Saccharomyces cerevisiae S288C: one gene and its partner. Changing the gene in region 2 together with the main gene of any one other region gives a genetic interaction. Each region holds a gene or a part of one and is shown on either strand. Other genes may lie near its edges.

Evidence for each region. A genetic interaction does not mean that the proteins touch.
Region 1: of HAA1 (region 2) and PRS3, changing one enhances a phenotype caused by changing the other (phenotypic enhancement), as found in Saccharomyces cerevisiae (one study listed by BioGRID).

What each region holds. Positions count from the first base shown.
Region 1 is NC_001140.6:80,154-83,616, reverse strand, and holds PRS3 (ribose phosphate diphosphokinase subunit PRS3), read left to right. Parts: upstream 1-2,000; coding exon 2,001-2,963; downstream 2,964-3,463. Other genes in the region: ETP1 (Etp1p), read left to right, coding at 1-1,653; YHL012W (UTP--glucose-1-phosphate uridylyltransferase), read right to left, coding at 3,200-3,463. UniProt on the Saccharomyces cerevisiae protein: 5-phosphoribose 1-diphosphate synthase involved in nucleotide, histidine, and tryptophan biosynthesis. Active in heteromultimeric complexes with other 5-phosphoribose 1-diphosphate synthases (PRS2, PRS3, PRS4 and PRS5).
Region 2 is NC_001148.4:570,802-574,764, forward strand, and holds the start of HAA1 (Haa1p), read left to right. Parts: upstream 1-2,216; coding exon 2,217-3,963. Other genes in the region: REC8 (Rec8p), read right to left, coding at 1-577. UniProt on the Saccharomyces cerevisiae protein: Regulates the transcription of a set of genes, many of which encode membrane proteins. Among the genes regulated are YGR138C and YRO2. Does not seem to be dependent on copper.

The DNA.
Region 1 (3,463 bases), on a different chromosome or scaffold from region 2:
AGTATCGGGGAAGAAAGTATTAAAAGTAATAATCAAGACTGGCAGGATTGGAGAGTCTGTGACTTGGAAATAGACATGATAACTGATTTCAAAAATCAAACATCAAAAGAAGAGGAAAGTGATTTGATTACTTCACAATACTTAGGCCATGGGATAATAAGGCTATTCAAGCTAAGCAATGCCAATAATACTCTTAATGAGAAGGAGATTTTGACTATCCCGGGAGATGATACTATGATATGTATCCTGTTTGTTCCAACTTATTTTACCGTTCACGATTTATTGCATTTTTATATTGGTGATGATATTGTTAATAAGCAAGTTTCAAACTTTCGTATATTACGAAATCAGCAGAAGGGAATGGGTTTTAATTTCACGGTCTTAATTAAATTCAGGAATGCACTTGATGCGAAAAATTTCAAGGAAGAGTTCAATGGCAAAAGTTTCAGCAGGATGGATCCCGAAACATGCCATGTGATCTCTGTAAAAGAAATAGTTTTTCAAAAAAAGCTCTTCCAAAGACCAGCCGCTAACGAGGACTTCCCCTATCTGCTTACTGATCCATTCACTGTTAAGAAAAAAAAGGAACTGGTAAAAGTCGAACTCCCCACATGTCCCGTTTGCCTTGAAAGAATGGATTCAGAAACTACTGGATTAGTAACGATCCCGTGCCAGCACACTTTTCATTGCCAATGCTTAAATAAGTGGAAGAATTCAAGGTGTCCAGTGTGTCGACATTCAAGTCTGCGGCTAAGCAGGGAATCATTATTGAAACAGGCAGGTGATTCCGCACATTGTGCAACATGTGGTTCCACTGATAATCTATGGATTTGCTTGATCTGCGGTAATGTTGGATGCGGTCGTTACAATTCCAAACACGCAATCAAGCATTATGAAGAAACTTTACATTGTTTTGCGATGGATATACGGACACAAAGAGTGTGGGATTATGCGGGTGATAATTATGTCCATCGCCTAGTTCAAAATGAAGTTGATGGGAAGTTAGTAGAGGTCGGCGGCTCCGGTGACGATGACAACAATGATATAGGCAACTCCGATGAACTACAAAATGTTGTTTACGGGAACAGGAGCAAAAACGGTGAGAAATCGAACTCTAATAAAAAAGATGGCGAGCTGGCGGCAAATTTTTTAAGGCATAGGGAGTATCATCTAGAATATGTGCAAGTCCTAATATCTCAATTAGAGTCTCAAAGAGAATATTATGAACTGAAATTACAAGAAAAAGATCAAACTGCGTCTGATTCTTCGAATGTTGAAAGTTTGAAGAAGTCTATGGAAGATTTGAAACTCCAATTTCAGGTCACTCAAAAGGAGTGGCAGAAAAGGGAAATGGCCCAGAAATCTAAGCTTGAGGAAGATATGTTAGTAATCGAAGGACTACAAGCGAACCTAGATCACTTATCAAAAAAACAAGAGCAGTTAGAGCGAGAAAACAAAGCGTTAGAAGAGTCTAAACAAGATTTGGAAGAGCAAGTCAAGGACCTAATGTTTTATCTAGATTCTCAAGAAAAATTCAAAGACGCTGATGAGAGTGTAAAAGAAGGTACCATCCTAATACAGCAACCACATGGGGCAGCACAGGCATCCAAAAGCAAGAAGAAGCGCAACAAAAATAAAAAAGCAGGGAAATGATTATCTTCATCACCGCCATACCATTCTTGCATTCTAAATTTATTATATCTCTGTGTACGGCAGGCTCATCGATTTTTCTTTTCTTTTTTTTTTTTTTTTTTTTTTGCCTGCGAAAATTTTCCAGTCGAATAGTAAGTAATAGGATGAGTTTTATAAAGTTATGATTGCGAACGGTATTATTCGCTAAACTCGTATCTGTTTATAATCACGTACCCTCTTATTTACTTACTTTTTCTTGAATATATCTAAGAAAGATTCATACTCTTTTTTCTACGTACTTTGCCAGCGCAGGATAAACGAACCTACCCATTCAAACTGAGCCTCATATATTCACTTAGGATTACAAAATGCCAACAAATTCCATCAAATTATTAGCACCAGATGTCCACCGAGGTTTAGCTGAACTTGTTGCCAAAAGGCTAGGTCTACAGTTAACAAGCAGCAAACTAAAGAGAGATCCAACCGGTGAGGTTTCCTTTTCTATTGGAGAATCTGTTAGGGACCAAGATATCTTTATCATCACGCAAATTGGCTCTGGTGTCGTGAACGATCGTGTTCTAGAACTACTGATCATGATCAATGCTTCGAAGACTGCGTCTGCAAGAAGAATCACTGCTATTATTCCAAATTTCCCATATGCAAGACAAGATAGAAAGGATAAGTCTCGTGCTCCTATTACCGCTAAATTGATGGCCGATATGTTAACAACAGCCGGGTGTGATCATGTTATTACTATGGATTTGCATGCTTCCCAAATTCAAGGGTTCTTCGACGTCCCAGTAGATAATTTATATGCAGAACCAAGCGTAGTTAGGTATATCAAGGAAAATGTCAACTATATGGATTCAATAATAATTTCGCCAGATGCTGGTGGGGCAAAACGTGCTGCCACTTTGGCTGATCGTTTGGATCTAAATTTTGCATTGATCCATAAGGAAAGAGCTCGTGCCAATGAGGTTTCTCGTATGGTTCTTGTTGGGGATGTTACTGATAAGATTTGTATCATTGTTGATGATATGGCCGATACTTGTGGTACTTTAGCTAAGGCTGCTGAAATTCTTTTGGAGAATAGAGCTAAATCTGTTATTGCTATTGTCACGCACGGTGTTTTATCAGGCAGAGCTATTGAAAATATTAACAATTCTAAACTGGATAGAGTTGTTTGCACAAATACTGTTCCATTTGAAGAAAAAATCAAGAAGTGCCCAAAACTGGCAGTCATTGACATCAGTAGTGTGCTGGCTGAAAGTATTCGTCGTTTGCATAATGGTGAAAGTATTTCTTATTTATTTAAGAATTATCCCTTATAAGTGACTGAAGAATAAATGGGGAGAAAAAAAATACTACAAAAATGATGAGTGATTTTCAGAATTTGATAAATACCTACGTATCTGATGTGTATACTTCTCTTCCCACAAATTGCAATGTAATGCCACTATTGCAATGTGCTCCAGTTTTTTTTTTCTGTGAGGATACATGATTCCTCTTACATAGTGGGAATAGAAGAAAACTTTATTCATGCATTTTACCCAAAAGTTTCTCTTGTTTAATATCCATTCATATCCTCCAGCTGAGATTTATGCCAAATCGTTACATTTTCCAAAATAGAGCCATCGGGAACAGTAATTACATCATTTTCATCACATATTATAATGACCGTCCCTTTCAGAGTTATATTACGACCAAAAAACACATTTCCCATCACAGTTAAATGCTCTAATTCCAGAATATTAGGAATATCTGGTACTCCTATCTTAAAAGTCTCATAAGTTGCAAACTCATCGCCCAAGTCGATTGAAGGTAATAATCC
Region 2 (3,963 bases):
TGTAGTCTTGTCTCCTTATTGATTTAGCTTCCTCAATAAAAGATACATTATCTTGGAGAGTAGTGTTAAGAAACTCCAGTGCGGGAACTTTAGTAATATCATATAAGGGATCGTCATCGAAAAAAACGCATTCTTCCCAGGTGTAATTATTGTTTTTGTTTCCTATAATACTGTTATTACTATTCAATCCATTAATCCTCGTAGACTTATTTTTGGCCTTAAAAGCGTATACATCATTTTTTTGTAACTGCACAAGCAGGTGATTTAGGTCATTCAACACATACTCGGTTTTTTTATTATAGCAAATTGTCACTCCATATAAAAGATTAGAAATGTATCTAAGAGAAAAATCATTTTCGAAATTTTGAATTTCATCACATGTTTTTGGTATGGAAATATTTACGATGTCTTTTTTCTTAACGGTGGATGAAGATATGTTTCCAGTGGAGTTGCTTTTGTTTGAATAATAATTGTTACTTTCCTTTACAATGGAATTTCCCAACGCAGAAAGCAACCACACTGTTGTGAGGCCCTTATATTTCTTGTCATCTTTAAAGTTCAACGAAAGAGGTGCCATTGCAGAATATTTGTAATATTAATCTATATATAGCAAATGCTTTAGAGTTGCTGAGGCTAAAAAGAAATTATAGAACAACTATAAAATATTAAGTCCGGATACACTGCTTCCTTTATACCATGCCCTTCCCTTTATAGTGTAAAAACGCGTAATCTTAATCAATCTGATATATTGGTTTGCCGCCGAAGTCAAGTTCTCCTGCTAAAACGAGACAAAAAGAACACGTGAAAGAAGAAAGAAAAACGTTACGATAAAATAAGTTTTATACCTACTTTCATATCTACCAAAGGAACACAATGAATTGCCGTATGTTATTCTTGAAGTAAGAGTCAAGTATTATTTATGGACTAGTATTCACGTTACTAGTACATTATCACATGCGGTGTAAGAAGATGATATAAAAATTGAGGGACAGTAATCAAATTCAACGGAAGTCAAAAAGGAAGGATTGGTAATGTATAATATCGAAAAATGTGCGAAATAGTTGATAATTGTTGGAGTTTTATAGTTGTTAAAGGCTATAATATTACGTATTTAGAATATACTAGAATTTCTCTATGAGAAGAACCCACGAAGAGATCGATATTCTCGATATAATGGCATTATTGTTATCCTTTTCATCTTATGTGACTGTCATTCATCATCCTACTAAATTATCAATCCTTGCAATTAGCTTCTATTACACCTGATGACTGTTTTTCAATCTTTATGTGATCTTTTTACACCCAATGTGATAAAGTACTAGTAACATGAATACTACTAAACAGATGATACTTTAGAGTTTTCATTCCAACACTCAATTGTAAAAATAAGACAATATTATGATTTTTTGGCTGTATAACCACATCTATTTAGTAGCAGGGTGACATGTTACTCCCACACAATACTTCGCGCAAGTGGTTTAGTGGTAAAATCCAACGTTGCCATCGTTGGGCCCCCGGTTCGATTCCGGGCTTGCGCAATTTTTCCCCCTCGCCCTGAAGGGCGTAACGTTAACGCTTCCGGTAATTTGCGAATAATTTTTCTTCCCATTTCCCCTTTCTTTTCCCTTTAACATGTGGAGCATAGCAGGCTCTTTACTTTTTTACGCATTCAGACAGTCGGGAGGTCAATTGGTGGTGCCGGTTGTGGGAAAGAGGTAATTTTATTTCCTTTATTGGACATGATTTCAATAGTCACATTGGGGCAGGAAAAAGAAAAGGGAGAAAAAAATTCAGTAAAGAAAAAAAATAAGAAAAAGAGAAAAGAAACAAGAGAGGGCTACAGATTTCTAAATATCCTTTTGCTGCACATTTTTTATTTACCTGCTAATTGGTCTTAGTAATACAGAGTCGTGCATTTCCACTTTATAAGAAAAAAAAAAGGGATAACAGCACCAGCACTTGATTGAAAACTAGAAAGTTCACGTTTTATAAGTCCTTTCCGTTCTCTTTATCAGTTATAATAAAAGAGCCAAGACAAAACGTGGCAGGGAAGCTTTTCCAAGGAAAAGAGGGTTGTAATATTAAACAAAAACCGTAATCAAGCAAAATAAGACCCCGTGGTTTTTTATCATAGGAAAAGAGTTCTCTGTTGTCACTCTACCATATTTGACAAGAAAAAGGAAACAAAAGTATAGAAAAAAAAAACCTAAAAAATAATGGTCTTGATAAATGGCATAAAGTATGCCTGTGAGAGGTGCATAAGAGGCCATAGAGTAACAACATGCAATCATACAGATCAACCGCTTATGATGATCAAACCCAAAGGTAGACCTTCCACTACATGCGACTATTGTAAACAACTTCGAAAAAACAAGAATGCAAATCCTGAAGGTGTTTGCACGTGTGGCCGGCTAGAGAAGAAAAAACTGGCACAGAAAGCCAAAGAAGAAGCAAGAGCTAAAGCCAAAGAAAAACAAAGAAAACAGTGTACCTGCGGGACTGATGAGGTTTGCAAATATCATGCTCAAAAGAGACATCTAAGAAAGTCCCCTTCAAGTTCTCAAAAGAAAGGAAGATCCATTTCTCGTTCTCAACCAATGTTTGAAAGGGTATTGTCTTCTACTTCACTTGACAGCAATATGTTATCCGGCCACGGAGCACTATCAGATACCTCTAGCATACTGACGAGCACATTTTTAGACAGTGAGCCGGGTGTTGGTAAAATTTCAAAAGATTACCATCATGTCCCTTCATTGGCCTCCATTTCATCCTTACAATCCTCGCAATCGTTAGATCAAAATTTCAGTATACCACAAAGCCCGCCGTTATCTTCAATGTCATTTAATTTTCTCACGGGAAATATCAATGAAACCAACCAAAATCACAGTAATCATCAGCATTCAAAATCAGGCAATAACTGGCAAGATAGTTCGGTAAGCTTGCCAGCGAAAGCTGATTCACGTCTTAACATGATGGATAAAAACAACTCTGTGGGTCTTGACCTATTAGGCCATTCAAAACGAATATCGCCGATATCAAACTCTCGTGTGGGCGAAGTTAGCGTTCCGCTAGAAGAATATATTCCTTCTGACATTGATGGGGTTGGAAGAGTTACTGATAAAAGCTCTTTGGTCTACGATTGGCCATTTGATGAAAGTATTGAGAGAAATTTCAGTACAACCGCAACCGCTGCAACTGGTGAAAGTAAGTTCGACATTAACGACAACTGTAATAGAATTAATAGCAAAAGTTATAGTAAGACTAATAGTATGAATGGAAACGGTATGAACAATAGCAATAATAATAATATCAACAGTAATGGCAACGACAAGAACAATAACAACTCTTCTAGACAAGAACATCAAGGAAATGGACTATTTGACATGTTTACAGATTCATCGTCGATTTCAACGCTTTCCCGTGCAAACTTATTATTGCAAGAAAAAATTGGTTCGCAAGAAAACTCTGTCAAACAAGAAAACTATTCGAAAAATCCTCAACTTCGTCATCAATTAACTTCCAGAAGTAGATCATTTATTCATCATCCGGCAAACGAGTATTTGAAGAATACTTTTGGAAATTCACATAGTAATGACATCGGAAAGGGAGTTGAAGTGCTATCTTTGACACCGAGTTTTATGGATATTCCCGAAAAAGAAAGAGAAACGGAAAGATCGCCATCATCCAATTACATTACTGACAGACCTTTCACTCGAAAACCTAGATCTTCTAGCATTGACGTAAACCATAGGTATCCACCTATGGCACCAACAACCGTAGCGACATCTCCCGGTGCATTGAACAATGCCGTAGCAAGCAATCTCGACGATCAACTGAGTTTAACATCACTAAACTCTCAGCCATCATCGATAGCAAATATGATGATGGACCCTTCAAACCTAGCTGAGCAAAGTTCTATTCATTCAGTTCCTCAGTCAATAAACTCTCCGAGAATGCCTAAAA